Rattus norvegicus: one gene and its partner. The protein of the gene in region 1 purifies or fractionates together with the protein of each later gene. This does not show direct contact. Links are inferred from orthologs where the notes say so. Each region holds a gene or a part of one and is shown in the gene's direction. Other genes may lie near its edges.

Region 1 (7,494 bases):
GGAGTGAGATGGCTCAGGAGGTAAGGGTGCCTGCTGCCGTGCTGCTGTGCTGCTGTGTTGCCGTGCTGCCGAGCCGGGTGACCCGAGATCCATCTCTGGAACCCACAGGATGGGAGGACAGGGAAGGAGAGAACGGACTCCTGAGAAAGTTGTCCCCTGACTTCCACAAGGCGCGCCACAGTGCCTATTCACATACGAAATAAGTAAAGGAATGTAGGGAGAAAGTAATAATACCGATAAGTAGCAATAAGGAAGGTATAATACAACCTCCTTTACAGAGACTCTTGACGTGAGCTGCGGCGTTTACCTTTGTAACACTTCCAGGGCGGAAGATGTTTCAGCCGGTAAGCACGCACGCACGCACGCACGCTACTCTTCCAGGTGACCAGCACTTAAGTAGGGCAGCTCGCAACGAACTGCCTGCAGCTGTAGCTCCAGGGGTTCTGACGCCCTCTTCTGGCCTCTCTGGGTACCTACACTCCTGTGCATGGACGCGCGCACAGACATATAACTTAGAATTATAACAATAAGTCTTTTTAAAAAAAAGAGTCAAATGTCCCCCAAACAAGGAGACCGTGGCGATTGGTGAGGAGGACAAAGAGGACATGAGCTGTGTTTGAGTCTGACCCTTGACCCTGCCTTCCCCCTTATCCCACGTGTCCGGGAGAAGGGACCTCACATCTGACCCTTGCAGTCTGTTTTATCCCATGGTTTCCTTGTAGGTCTCGGGAATGCTGCTGAAGGTGGGAATTCTGTACCTCGGTGGGCAGCTGGTGGTCAGAGGGGCTGTCAGCAGCGGCAACCTCGTCTCCTTTGTTCTCTACCAGCTTCAGTTCACCAGGGCCGTGGAGGTGAGCCCCGCCCCCGAAATGCCTGGGCGGTCCCTGCCTGCCCTTGTGTTGCAGCTTCTTGGGCTTTGCTCACCCACTGCCTGTTCACTGAATGCTGTCGAGCTGGTTAGACGGCACACCTGCTTTCATGGTCCATGCCAGGCTCACCCACACTCCACTCTGCGATGCAGGTCCTGCTCTCCATCTATCCCTCCATGCAGAAGTCCGTGGGCGCCTCGGAGAAAATATTCGAATACCTGGACCGGACTCCCTGCTCTCCGCTCAGTGGCTCACTGGCACCTTTAAACATGAAAGGCCTCGTCAAGTTCCAAGATGTCTCCTTTGCCTACCCAAACCATCCCAACGTCCAGGTGCTTCAGGTACTGTCCACCCATCCCTTTCACCTCTTCCGGCTTCTTGCCAGTGACCCAGGCCCTCCCTAACCTCAAAGGTGACAATGAGAACCATGTGTCTATAAATCACCCCACCCAAAGAACTAGCTTGGTCTTCTAATAACACTATGGGGCGAGGGGGGGAAGAGGCCTCGAGGAGAAGGCTTCTGGGGCTCAGGATGGCTTAGTAGCCAAGAGCATGCAGTGCTTTTGCAGAGGACCCTGGTTCCCAGGCACTCACAACCACCTACTCCTGTTCCAGGGGACCCTACGCCCTCTTTTGACTTCTAGGGGTACAAGGCATGAACGTGGCATGCGTGTCTACATGCTGGCCAAACACTCGTACACGTAAAAATGAATAAATCTAATTTTTTTTAAAAGATAAAGCTCTTTTAACGAAGGAGTTAGCAACACGTGTTCCACCTGCCAATTGTGCAGGAGACTAGATTTGCGCTTCTGGGAGGGAATGCTCTCCCTCCACCCTCCGCTGCTACGCCCAGGGATGCTTCTTGCCCATTCCTATGCCCCAGCCCCTCTCTCTTCTCCCTCCCCGATGTCGTTTCAGAAGTCCGTGCATAGAGGGGTAGGGATTGCTGTGCGTTCTTTGGTCCTCGTGGGTAAGATGCTGTGTTGCACACTGAGTGACAAAGGCCTCCAAATGTTTCTACCGTGTGCTTCTCTGGCCTCCAGGGGCTGACTTTTACGCTGTATCCCGGGAAGGTGACTGCCTTGGTGGGACCCAATGGGTCAGGGAAGAGCACCGTGGCCGCCCTGCTGCAGAACCTGTACCAGCCCACCGGGGGCAAGGTGCTCCTGGATGGCGAGCTCCTGGTCCAGTATGATCACCACTACCTGCACACGCAGGTGAGCAAGAAGGTGTGGGGGAGGGGAGGAGAGCAAGCCAAGAGAAAATTGTCTGAGAAAACCCTTTCAGAGAGTCAGGGTCAGCGAGTCAGGGCCAGCAGAGTCAGGGCCAGCAGAGTCGGGGCCAGCAGAGTCGGGGCTGTGTGTAGAAGGACACGTGACCGTATGGTGTGCACCCGGTTGTGACTCTTCAGTTCCCAGCCAACGACACTTCTGTGTTTCTTGCCTGTTCCTCTTCACATTTCACCTCAGGTGGCCGCAGTGGGACAAGAGCCACTGCTATTTGGAAGAAGTTTTCGGGAAAATATTGCCTATGGCCTGACGCGGACTCCAACCATGGAGGAAATCACAGCTGTGGCCATGGAGTCCGGAGCCCACGATTTCATCTCTGGATTCCCTCAGGGCTATGACACAGGTATCTGCCTTCTCACATCCGGACTGCAACCACCCCTGCCTTTATTATTCAATCCCTCCTGACCCTTGGATACCGATTTGTAGTTGAAACTCTTGTTTCTAAGATTCACAGGACTCCATTCCCTTGCAGAGGGCCTCCCTTTCCAGCTGCCCCGTCAGCTGCGTGTACGTGTGTGTGTGTGTGTGTGTGTGTGTGTGTGTATGAGTGTGTATGTGTCTGTGTGTGTATGTGTGTGACTGTGTGTGTATGTCTCTGTGTGTGTATATGTGTGTGTGTCTGTGTGTGTCAGTGTGTATATGTGTGTGTATGTCTGTGTGTGAGTGAGTGTGTATGTGTGTCTGTGTACATGAGTGTATATCATACCCTGAGGGAATGTATGTGATATATGTGTGTATATGAGTGTGTATGTGTGTGTGTATATGTGTCTGTGTATATATGTGGATATGTGTGTGTGAATGTGTATGTGTGTGTTTATGTCTGTGTATCTGTGTATGTGAGTGTGTCTCATACCCTTAGGGAATTTATGTGTGTGTATGTGTGTATATATATGTGTGTGTATGTGAGTGTATATGTGTGTATGTATGTGAGTGTGTCTGTGTGTTTGTGTATGTATGTGTGTGTGTGCATGTGAGTGTGTATGTATGTATATGTATGTATGTGAGTGTGAATGTGTGTATGTATGTGAGTGTGTCTGTGTGTCTGTGTATGTGTGTGTGTGTCTGTGTATGTGAGTGTGTCTGTGTGTGTCTGTGTATGTATGTGTGTCTGTGTATGTGAGTGTGTATGCATGTGTGTATGTGAGTGTGTCTGTGTATGTGAGTGTGTCTGGGTGTATGTGAGTGTGTATGTATGTGTGTATGTGAGTGTGTATGTATGTGTGTATGTGAGTGTGTATGTATGTGTGTATGTGAGTGTCTGTGTATATGAGTGTGTCTGTGTACAGAAGTGTGTCTGTGTGTCTGTGTATGTGAGTGTGTCTGTGTATGTGAGTATGTCTGTGTGTCTGTGTACAGAAGTGTGTCTGTGCATGTGTGTACACACCTGTCGACTTCTCAGCTGGACTCTTGTCTCTGCAGAGGTAGGTGAAACTGGGAACCAGCTGTCAGGAGGTCAGCGACAGGCGGTGGCCTTGGCTCGAGCCTTGATCCGGAAGCCACGCCTGCTTATCTTGGACGATGCCACCAGTGCCCTGGATGCTGGCAACCAGCTACGGGTGAGGCCCTGGTTCTTATCTTCTGTCTTTTTTAGCCATCTTGCTGTGTGGTCTCGGCTGGCCTGGACCTCACTTTGGAGACCATGCTGTCCTCGGATTCTTGGTAATCTTTCCCCTGCTGCCTCTGGAGGGTGTGGTCACCCTGCTGTGTCATCTTCCTGAAGTCTCATTCGCATGGGAGCTTTGCTTCTGTTATTCATCCTGTGTTAGTTACACCAACAACATAACTATTCAAACCTGTCCTGGGAATTCTCAGTTCCCATTGGCTTTTCCCCAGGACACCAGGAACCAGTGAACGGAGCTCCTGACCTAAGAGTCTGTGTGGGCTTAGCCTGCTTTGTGTTTCAGGCGTTCTATCCCACCCTGCACTACTTTGCCTATCAGAGTCCTTTGTTGCGCTTGTTCTGTAGATGATAAGAGAGGTTGATTAACCTTCCAAAAGTCACACAGCAATCGAGCAATGGAGCCTGGGTCCAGATACAAGTCATCCAAATTCTCGTGTTCTTTGTTACTGTTACATTTCTTTAAAAAATAAGATTTATTTTATGTGTTTGAGTGTCTTGCTTGTATGTATGTATGTATGTATGTATGTATGTATGTATGTATGTATGTATGTATGTACCTAGTGTCTTTGAAAGTCAGAAGAAGGTATGGATCCCCTGGAACTAGACTTATGGATGGTTGTGAACCACCATGTGGATGTTGAAACTCAAACCCTGGACCTCTGGAAGAGCAGCCAGTGCTCTTAACTGCTGAGCCCCTGCCCCTGCATTACATTTCTCTAAATTGGATATAAAATTTCCCAGCTTAGAGGCTGGAGAGATGGCTCAGCAGTTAAGAGCACTGGCTGTTCTTCCACAGGACCTGGGTTCAATTCCCAGCACCCACATGGCAGCTCACAACCGTCTGCAACTCCAGTTCCAGGGTTTCTGACACCCTCACACAGGCAAAATGCCAATGAACCTAAAACAAAAATAAATTATAAACAATCTTCTCAGTTTATTAGTGGGTTATTAGAAATGTGTATGACATAGGAAATGTGACGTGTGGGGTGGGTGTTGAGAGGAGAAGAGGAGGTGGTATGATTATATTTCATTATAGTCATGCATGACATTCTCAAAGCATAAATTAATATATATTCTTGAATGCAAAAAATATTCCCACATCTTAAGGCTGGACGAGGCAACCCTAGTCTTACTGCAACTTAGTGTGTAGTGTTTGGTTGATGTCCTTGGGAGGCTTGCTCCCCCCCACCCCAAGGAAAATGGAGGCGTGGTGGTGGGGTGAGGAGGAGGGACTGGGAGGAGAGGAGGAAGGGGGAAGAGCAGTCGGAATATAATATATGGGAGAAGAATAATTTTCTTTAAGAATTTCCCGGCTTAGGGGTTGGAGATTTAGCTCGGTGGTAGAGCGCTTGGTAGCAAGCGCAAGGCCCTGGGTTCGGTCCCCAGCTCCGAAAAAAAAAAAAAAATTCCCGGCTTACGGATAGAGATGAGAGACTATGCAGTCCCCTCCCCCTCGTGCTCCCGCTCTTCATCTATCTGTACCACCTCTTGAGAAGACGCCTTAAAAAATAATCAAAGGTTTGGAGAGGCGCTCCAGACCCGGGATATCGGCATCCTTGGGAAGTGACAATGTGTCCCAGCCTTGGAAGCACAGGGGGCTCCTGGACGGTAGAGGCCCCGGACTGTAAGGACTGTGTGTTTCTGCAGGTCCAGCGGCTCCTGTATGAGAGCCCCGAGTGGGCCTCTCGGACGGTTCTTCTGATCACCCAGCAGCTCAGCCTGGCAGAGCGGGCCCACCACATCCTCTTCCTCAAAGAAGGCTCTGTCTGCGAGCAGGGCACCCACCTGCAGCTCATGGAGAGAGGAGGGTGTTACCGGTCCATGGTGGAGGCTCTTGCGGCTCCTTCAGACTGACCGGCTTCTGGACTGCACGCTGCGCGAGTCCCTCCCCCTGCTGTCCTCTGCTCTGTGTGGCAGAGAACCTGGGAGCAAAGATTTTACCACATCCACGGAGATAGTTGAGGAGCGATGGTGTTTGTTACATGAGAAAAATGTAACCTCTAGGAGATGCCCGGAATTTACCACCAATGTTTTCCCGCCCCGCCCCCTGTTAGACGGGGGATGGGGGTAGGTACCCCAGGCTAACACTGAGCTGCTGAGTCTCCTGTCTCCCGTGGAGTTTGCATCACGGCATGCACCCACAAACCTGGCTTATGTGGCGTTGGGACAGAATGAGAAGAAACGCCCAAAATGTACAGAGAAGGGGCAAATAGCTTGCAATTAACCAAAGGCATAGGCTGGCCTATGGGTATTCTGCGGGTTCTCGATATTTATAATAAAACTGGTGTTTTGTACCGTGGTTTCTCCTGTTTCTTAGCTCCCACAAACTGCTCGATGAGTTAGCCAGCACCCTTCCCCACACACAGCCCAGTGTCCCGTTCTTCTTCAGAATTCTGTTTTACTGCCGGGTCCATCATCTTCCTGGCGCTCTCATTTCTCTTCCCTACCCACCCACCGACTCCTAGTGCTGAGCAGGACCAGGCGGCAGCCCCTCTGTCCCCGCACTCCAAGGCATCAGCAGCTGCATCTAGGAGCCCCTCTCTTCCTCGCTGAGGCTGGAGGAGGCGCGGCAGCGCAGCGGGGTGGGGGTGGGGGTGGGGGACTCCAGAACTCCAGACTGGATTACCTCGCTGGCTCTGATTTTTCTGAACCTCTCACCTTCTCCTCAGCCGCACACGCCGGAGTAATCTTAATGAAACGGAAAGGATTAGCCAGTAAATCTCTTCCATACAGGGAGGGCCCGGTGGCGTGACGTCAGCAGTTGCTGGGCAGATAAGGTCCGCAAAGGTTGGAAAGAGAGGTGGGGTTTAGGATTCAAGGAAGGAGCGCTCAGCTCTGACTTGCGCGACGTGAACAGCCCAGGGAGAAGGGAGCGTCCACGTGGGTTGCCTCAGGGTAGTGAGACTGTTGGACCGAGAGGGGCCCTAGAAAGGACACATAGAAAGACCCGAACTGTGCCCTCTCCTTGGTTCGTCCTTCCCCATTTTTTTTCCCCTGGTCGTCTCAGGACTTAAAGACCCCGTGCAACTATTTATCGCATTTTCCAGTTTCTATAAAACGATGCTCATTTAAGTGCTGCCCCCATCCCCAGGACGCACGCCTAGGTGAATCTGCTCAATGCTTCTCTTGGGTTCCAACTTTCTAGAGAACCTCTTTAAGGTGACAGGACCCTATCCAGTCCTCAGCTGTTCCCAGAAGATGCCCCTCGCCCCGACTGTGAGTCCTCAAGTACCCCACTGCTAGGTGGCCTCCGAAGGCGCACCTCTTCTTTTATCCCACAGCCCACTCTCTAGCTGGTTTTCATCGACGTGGCATCAGGAAAACTTGTCCCTAACATATTTTTAGTTCAGACACCCGTTAATTGGGCTCTACTCGGAAAGGGCAGGGGTTGGGGGTGGGGGACTGGTTCCCTCCTCTTGGTGCTGTGGCTTTCGCTTTCACTTCCTTGTCCGAGAGTCGACGGATCTCCGGGGCTAAGTCGTCATGGCGTTACTGGATCTGTGCGGCGCTCCTCGGGGGCAGCGGCCCGAGTGGGCTGCCGTGGATGCAGGAAGCGGGCTTCGCTCGGACCCGGGACACTACAGTTTCTCCGTGCAAGCTCCGGAGCTCGCGCTTCCCCGGGGAATGCAGGTGAGGACTGTAGGGGTTCTTGAGAGATGCAGGGGGTGGGTGGTGGTGGTGGCGGCACGTAGGAAGGACTGTCTGCCTGGGTCTG
Region 2 (8,011 bases), about 310 kb from region 1:
GAATTTTCCCCAGCGGCACAGGAGGGGTGCTGTCCTGCGCCTTTAAGGTCGCTGGTCGGGGAGGAGGAGTGGAGGCGGAGGGCGGAGGGAGTCGGCACAAGATGGCGGCGGGAGGGGCTGGGGCTGCGGCTCTGGTCGCCGAGTGAGGGGGGGCCCGGGGGCGCGCGGCCAGGTAAGCGGGGGCGCGCGGGGCTGGGGGCCCCCTCAGGCCGGGGGACAGTCCAAGGACGCGATTGGGGAGGAGTGGGGGGCGGGGTTCGGGGGGCGGGGGCAAACACGAGGCGGGGTCGGGGATCTAGGGGGCGGAGCCCTGGAGGGTCCTGAAGGGGCGGAGTCGGGGAATTAACTGGGGGCTGTCGGGGGAGGAGCTTGAAAACTGTGGAGGACACCCCTTCGCCCCAAGAAAATTGGTACGTAACACCAAGGAGAGGCGGTTTTTTTTTTTTTTTTTTTTTTAAGTGAGGCTCGGGGGCAGCTGTAGACAAGGATAGACACCCATTCCCTGAGAGCCCCCTATTTTCTGACCTAGGAAAGAGTACTAAACTTGGAGTTGGAATACTTTCTCTGCTAGCGCTGAGGTTTGATTTGATGTCGTTTGGTAGGTGTACTTGGATGTTTTTCTTGATTAATTCTGGGCCTCAGTTGCCCCATCTGTCCCATGGGGTTGAGAGGTGTACCTATTTATCTCAGTGATTTTTCTTTTTTTTTATACTGTGATGGTCTATGTCTTTTCAAAATGCTGTATTATTCTCTTTTTTTTCCCCCTAGAGACCCCCCCGGCCGCCCTCTTCTTTCCTTTGTTCCTGTGGCTGGGGGGGTATCTCCTTCCACAACATGGAGCCATCTCCTATGTCACCCAGTGGGGCCACACTCCCACTGCCTCTGTCACTGGCTCCACCACCACTGCCTCTGCCGGCAGCTGCAGTGGTACACGTGTCCTTCCCTGAGGTGACCAGTGCCCTCCTGGAGTCCCTCAACCAGCAGCGGCTCCAGGGTCAGCTCTGCGATGTGTCTATCCGCGTGCAGGGACGGGAGTTCCGTGCTCACAGGGCCGTCTTGGCTGCCTCCTCTCCTTACTTCCACGACCAGGTCCTACTCAAAGGCATGACTTCCATCTCACTGCCCAGCGTCATGGACCCAGGCGCTTTTGAGACTGTCCTGGCCTCAGCGTACACGGGCCGCCTCAGCATGGCTGCTGCGGACATTGTCAACTTCCTCACAGTGGGGTCGGTCCTCCAGATGTGGCACATTGTGGATAAGTGCACTGAACTCCTTCGGGAGGGTCGATCTTCAGCCGCTACTACCACTGTCACTGCTGTTGCAGCCCCCTCTGTCTCTGTCCCTTGTGCCAGTGTCCCATCAGGGAGCGGGGGCACCGTTGCCCCTGCCACTGTAGGCTCTGTACGTTCCCATACCTCCAGCCGGGCCAGTGAGAATCAGTCTCCCAGCAGTAGCAACTACTTCAGCCCCCGGGAGTCGACTGATTTCTCCTCTTCCTCCCAAGATGCATTTGTGGCCTCAGCAGTGGGTAGTGGGAACCGTCGAGATGGTGGCCCCGTGTTCCCAGTCCCTGTGGTTGGCAGTGCGGGTACCACCTCTGGGAAGTTGCTGCTAGAGGCCGATGAGCTATGTGATGACGGTGGGGATGGGAGAGGGGCGGCGGCCCCTGGGGCTGGGCTCCGGAGGCCCAACTGCCTGCCTGCCAGTGCAGTGCCACAGAAACACTGGGTGTATGTGAAGCGAGCTAGAAATTGCCCTGCACCAGCATCGCTGGTCCACCAAGACCCCGATCTAGAGGATGAGGAAGAGGAGGAAGATCTGGTGTTGACTTGTGAGGATGACGAGGATGAAGACCTGGGGAATGGCTCTGGGGTTCCTGCAGGGGGAGAGCCCGAGGCTACCCTCAGTATCAGTGACGTTCGGACCTTGACGGAGCCTGCAGAAAAGGGGGAGGAACAGGTGAACTTCTGTGAATCCTCCAATGACTTTGGCCCCTATGAGGGTGGTGGCGCTGGGGCAGGACTTGATGACCCTGGAGGCCCCACCCCTTCCTCCTATGGCCTCACCCACCCTCCACGACCCCTTCTTCCATTGGATGTGCCAGGCAACCAGATCTTGGTTTTCCCATCCTCCTCCTCGCAGGCTCCAGGCCAGCCACCAGGGAACACAGCAGAACACGGGGCAGTGACCCTAGGGGGTGCCTCTGCGGTGGGTCTGGGCATACCAAGTGGCTCTGGGGGGACCCCCGGAGGGGCAGGCAACAGCGACGGGAATAAGATCTTTCTTTGCCACTGTGGGAAGGCTTTCTCACATAAGAGTATGCGGGACCGGCACGTGAATATGCATCTCAACCTGCGACCCTTTGACTGCCCCGTGTGCAACAAGAAGTTCAAGATGAAACACCACCTGACCGAGCACATGAAGACGCACACAGGCCTCAAGCCCTACGAATGCAGTGTCTGCGCCAAGAAGTTCATGTGGCGGGACAGTTTCATGCGTCACCGGGGTCACTGTGAGCGCCGGCACCGGATGGGCGCGGGCGGGGCCGCATCGGTACCTGGACCTGGACCGGGGGCACCCACAGGGCCAGCACTGCAACCCAAGAGGGAGTCCTCCGCAGTGGGTGGGGGCAGTGGCGATGAGGCGAATTCGGCCACACCCCCGTCTAATAGGCGTGTCTGGTCACCACCCAGCGTGCACAAAGTCGAGATGGATTTCAGTGGGGGTGGAGGAGCAGCACACTGAAGGACAGGCTATCGGGGAGCTTAGTCTAAGGGCAACGTGGCTCCCGGGGTTTTCCCCACCAAACCGTCTTCCCTTATCTCTGTGGACTTGTATATATTCTAGAGAAGGGCATAGGCTGCACCATCGATAGCCCGTTCCATTCCTTAGCCCCTTCCTCGATATCTCCGGAACTAAGCAGTTTTTCTTCTCCCTTGAGCACACCAGAGCCCCACCTTCACGGAGTAGTGCCAAGACGGTGGGGGGATGGAAAAGGGACATTTTGAGCATCCTGGAGTCGCAGGGCCAACAGTCAGGTTGTGCTAATTTGTGCCTGAAGTCTGTGTTTGTGTTGTGGGACGAGGCCTTTGAGACTCCTCTTGAAGGATGCGCCCCTTATTCCTGTACTATCCCACCCTTGCCATGAGGATCCCAAATTGGGTTGTCATGAAAGTGGGCGGAGACAAGGGGTGAGCCGCGTAGTATAGGTCTTAATTTTTAACGGTGATTAAAATATTTATTGGTCACTTCACTTGGTTTCCCAACACCCCTCTGTTTGCTGGGAGCTGACACAGGTCGGGGGACGCAGGAGTATGGTTCTAAGGGAGGTGGCGCTAAGAGGGCGCAGCCCGAGGGCGGAGCCTAAGCTGCTAAAGGCTCAAAGTTGGCGCGCTGTCGGGTGATCCACGCGTGTGGGTGCAGGGCGAGGAGGGGCCGGAGAGCCCGAGACAGGGTTTCGGGATCTCTGTTTGGCCCTTGCGGGCTGCGTTCCTCCAGCGCGCAGTCACGCCCTCACCTGACCAGCGCAGGGAATTTCCAGTTCCTCACCCCCCGCCTTTGAGGGAAAATGAAAGTGAAAGGAAACAGACTTGGTAGGGGAGATCGCAGCACCATGAAGCTTCTTCCCCTGCTCGTCGTTGTGGCACTGGGTGAGCGGACCCCATTCCTTCTCGTTTAGGAAAGGACACATTGGGAAGGAGAGGGAGGTGATCCCATCGCGGGTCTGAAGGGCGGGCCGGTCCCGGACACCTTGTGGCAGCCTGGTCACCGGAGCCCCTCTTCCCCAGGCCTGGCGACCGTGGTGGTCTCGGCTGGACCACAGACGATTGAGTGCTGGTTCGTGGAGGATGCAGGTGGGGGTGGCCTGTCCAAGAAACCTGCCACATTGCTACTGCGCCATGGACCCAGGGGACCGCCGCCCCGGCCAGATCTTGACCCTAAGCTATACTTCAAGGTGGATGGTGAGTCTTCGGGACTCAGCTGCGTCTGTCGCCTCCTCTTAGCTCACGTAGGGTCCCCGGGCCTCAGTTTTCCCCTTTGTAAATAAGTTTGGATACTCTCTAAGTCGCTCACTACTTTGCTAGTTTGTGCCTTCCGGCCTGTGTACAGTCAGCACGTTTCCAGCCGGGCCTACCGCTACATCCTTCTCGGTTCCGCAGACCCGGCGGGAATGCTCCTGGCTGCCTTCAGGCGGTACCCCGCAGGCGCCCACGCCCCACACTGCGAGATGAGCAGCTACATCCCGTTCCCCGCCTCGGCGAAGTGGGCTAGGGGTCTGAGTCCGCAGCAGAACTGCTCGCGGGCCCTGGACGGGGATTGGCTGATGGTCAGCGTATCCGGCACGGTCTTCAGCCTCTCCAGCCTGCTGCGACCACTGCCGGAGCCTCAGCGGGAGCCTGTCTTCATCACCATGGCAACAGGTAGCCCTGAAGAGAAGCGGGAGATGGATGGGTAGCTTTTAAGGGTCTAGATTGGCCAGTTCGGCGACTCGCCAAGAGTTGGAGGATCAGTATATTTTTTCTGTTAAGGGTTAGACAATCTTCACCTTTCATTGTAGGGGGAGAGTAAAATTGAAACCTGCTGTGGTTTGGGGGCGGGGCTTTGCAGAGGGACTGGGGAGGCGGTCAGGGTGTCGGTTTCCAGAAACCAGAGTTTGAGAAACTCATAAGGTTAGGAGTCCCGACACCCGAGTTCTTTTCTGCACTCGTCCCAGGTTTCAAAAATCACACTTTGAGTCTCTTCAAAGCTCACTCTAGCCTAAGGACAGCCTGTCCAGCAAGGAACCTCTTCCTGAGTCTCTCGGCCATGGTCTTGAGTGCCTCAACGGTGGCCTCTAGTGGGCAGAAGGGACACGGCCGAAGCGGTGGATTCTCCTGCAAAGGCCACTGTCTCACTCACTAAATAGAGTGCGGTGCAGCAGAGTTCCCAGAGGTCCACCACTTTGCTGTGCTGGACAGGGGAAGAGGGCACTCCATGGGCAGATGTGCAGAAATGGGGTAGATCTGTCTTGAACGCCTCTGAGCGTCTGCTCTTCTCCTCGGGCACCACCTAACAGGAAGACAGAACCATCTGCCTTTTCCATTTCTGGTGTTTTTATGCAAATACTCTCACCGAACTCCCTGAGTCCTTTGTCTTCATCATTTGAAACTCCTAAGGGGGGCAGTCTGAAACCCTCAGCTCTGCCAGCACCTCCTCTCTCAGCTCCACCCTATTCAGGCCCGTTGTGGGGACAGTAGTTCTCTCAAGAGAACCGGCCCTCACATCGTTGGTCTTAATGGGGGATGGCGGTGGCGACCACAGCCTTTGTCCTATGGGTCTGTTTCTTCCCAACTGTAGAAAGTAGGTTCTTCCCAGTTACTTTTCTTTGTAGCAGTGAAGCAAGGCGCTGTGCTGCTCACTGATCCAATAAATGTTATTAGCACCAAGAGACAGTTAGGACCCCGAGGTTCCCAGATCAAGCTCCAGATAATTAGCAAAGAACATACTGAAAGCTTGGGTGTGTGAATCGCAGCGTGCAGGGTGGCCCTGTGTGCTCAGTGACGGGTGATCGGTGAGAGGCTCAGCGTGTTTCTCACATCTGTTGTAGACAGTCCAGTCCCATGTGACTTCTGCAGGGCAGGAGTGTGTGGCTCAGTGACTGTCAGTTATTTCCAAGTTGGTTTTACTTGTGTGTGTGTCTAGGTATGGGTCTGTGCATGTGAGTGCAGCTGCCTAGGGAATCTAGGAGCAGCCGTTGGACCCTCCAGAGCTGGGCTACAGGTGGCTGTGAGCCATGTGGCCTGGGTGCTGGGAACCCAACTTGGATCCCCGGAAGTGCAGGATTGGTTTAAAGTCACCCTCTAGGCCCTTGTCTGGGCTCCTAGAGTGCTCTGGGCCAGGACTGACCGATCATTTCTCATGGACTCTGGGGTGAAATCAAGTCACTGTATCCCCTCTTCCTCATCACATCAGGTCATACCTGCTTGACTAGAAACCCATGAAAACGGGGTTGGGTAGATGGGTCATCAGTTAAGAGGACTGGCTGACCTTTCGCAGGGCAGGTCACGGCTGTAACTCTGTGTGCTATAGAGCAGTTGGCACGCTCACACAGACATACATACAGGCGGACACCAGTGCACGTACAAATCTTATATAAAAAGAACCGTGACATGGCTTTATTCGTTGCTATCAGGCCCCTCCCCTCATCCCCAGGGGACTGAACCAGCATCAGGGAAGCTCTCTGTCACCTTCCAGAAGCTGCTGCAGCAGGCCTAGGCCGCCTCTCCTGAATGATTGTTTTCACAGAACACTAGGGTAGGAAATCACCCTGGTTTGGGTTCAGGGCCAGGCCTTGCTCGTGCTGGACACACAACTGGCCGTGGAGCTGCCCAGCCAGGGTCGAGTCTCTCTTTCTCAGTATTGAGTGCACACAGCACTTCGTTCCAACCACTCTTCTAGAAATGTTACAGGCAGGCTGTACTAGGAATCTACATGCATATACAAATGACAGTAAAAAAGAGGTCAGGAATTGAAGAGGGGAAAGAGGGAGGAAAGGGAGAGATGTTGTCCTCTGAGGTGACTGAGTAAAGGCCCTCACCAACAGGGTGAGGAAATGAGCTTCATGCAGGGTCCACACAGAGAGAACTGACTCCCGGAAGTCCTCTGACCGCCACATGCACACCATGCAGGAACACACACACACATAAGTGAAAATGTAAAAGACAGTATGGAAAACTTTAACTGTGGCTGGAGAGGGCTCTCATTTGTAAACTTCTTTTTTTTTTTTTTTTTCTTTTTCTTTTTTTCGGAGCTGGAGGTTTGTAAACTTCTTGTGCTCCGTGTACTGACTGGCCTCCTATAGGGGGTTTTATTATCGAAAGTCAGGAATGAGACAGATTTGGTTAGCCAGAGGTATTAAATGGCAAATGGCATGACCATCACCACCTCAGTAGCTCAGCAGATTGGTGTAGCTGGTCTTTGTTACTGTGTGGGTTGTTCTTTTCCCGCCCTTTCTCTGCTGGGGTTACTCCCTATGACTACATAGGAGAGAAGGAGAGATAGAAGAGAGAGATCCCTGAGTCTAATTTCTTTTTGTTGCTTCTTTGAGCACGACTAACAAACTGCAGGCAACCCCCCCCCCGAATGGCCAATCTGCCCCTCCTCTTGTGGGGGGTGTCCTAGCATTTATGTACCCTCTGAAAAGCTCCCAGAATTCCAAGTATCACACAATCAGACGCCTTTGCTAGAGCACGAGGCAAATCAGTCAGCTGCCATGGACAGTCTGAAGCAGCCCTATCCCAGACCTGGGATTAAAATGAAAGCTTATCATGCCTCATGCTGTGGGATCTTGGTGGTGGTGGTGTTGTTTAAGAGACTGAAATCCCAGAATTCCCACCAGGTAGGTCCTATTCTTACTTTGACTGGCCGTTACTCATTTTTGTTTGTTTTTGAGACTGGGTCTTAGGCAAGCTTGTCTGGAACTCATGGTAGTCCTCCCACCACGGTCTCCCATGTGCCGGGGTTACCAGTGTGCAGTCCTCCTGCCAGTTTCCCATGTGCTGGGGTTATCAGTATGTGCAGTCCTCCCTCCATGGTCTCCCATGTGCCGGGGTTATCTGTGTGAGCCACTAAGTGCGGCTTCCGTTTCTCCTTTGGAGATTGGGGGAGGGAGCTGAGGCGTAGCTCAGTGGTAGGCCCATTGCCTGCTGTGTGTGACAGTCAGCACTGGATGCTCAGGCCTGTAATCCTGGCACTGGAGACACGGACAGGAGAGTCAAGAGATCTGTGACAGCTGTGCTACAGACTGCTCCCATGCATGAGGCCTTAGGGTCAGTCCTTAGCGCTGCAGCAGTAGTCACACACGCACGCACGCACGCCAGCCTCCCAACACACACATAGGAAAGAAAGGAGGAAGGCCAAAGTAAGGTAATCACTTATCTACTGAGTTCCGGACTAGCTCATCGTGCAGAGTGAGTTTTAAGATACCCTGAGCAGAGTGTGTGTGTGTGTGTGTGTGTGTGTGTGTGTGTGT

Evidence for each region. The genes of interacting proteins can lie anywhere in the genome.
Region 2: the proteins of Tap1 (region 1) and Tapbp purify together in Homo sapiens (co-immunoprecipitation; 6 studies listed by BioGRID and IntAct, with this or other methods). This does not show direct contact. The link is inferred for Rattus norvegicus from reciprocal best matches to the Homo sapiens genes TAP1 and TAPBP.

The regions. Positions count from the first base shown.
Region 1 is NC_086038.1:4,656,750-4,664,243, reverse strand, and holds the end of Tap1 (antigen peptide transporter 1 precursor), read left to right. Parts: intron 1-722; coding exon 723-851; intron 852-1,021; coding exon 1,022-1,210; intron 1,211-1,912; coding exon 1,913-2,086; intron 2,087-2,338; coding exon 2,339-2,501; intron 2,502-3,577; coding exon 3,578-3,714; intron 3,715-5,426; coding exon 5,427-5,633; 3' UTR 5,634-6,073; downstream 6,074-7,494. Other genes in the region: Psmb8 (proteasome subunit beta type-8), read left to right, coding at 7,263-7,409. UniProt on the Homo sapiens protein: ABC transporter associated with antigen processing. In complex with TAP2 mediates unidirectional translocation of peptide antigens from cytosol to endoplasmic reticulum (ER) for loading onto MHC class I (MHCI) molecules.
Region 2 is NC_086038.1:4,963,457-4,971,467, reverse strand, and holds the start of Tapbp (tapasin precursor), read left to right. Parts: upstream 1-3,613; coding exon 3,614-3,650; intron 3,651-3,788; coding exon 3,789-3,962; intron 3,963-4,160; coding exon 4,161-4,421; intron 4,422-8,011. Other genes in the region: Zbtb22 (zinc finger and BTB domain-containing protein 22), read left to right, coding at 835-2,745. UniProt on the Homo sapiens protein: Involved in the association of MHC class I with transporter associated with antigen processing (TAP) and in the assembly of MHC class I with peptide (peptide loading).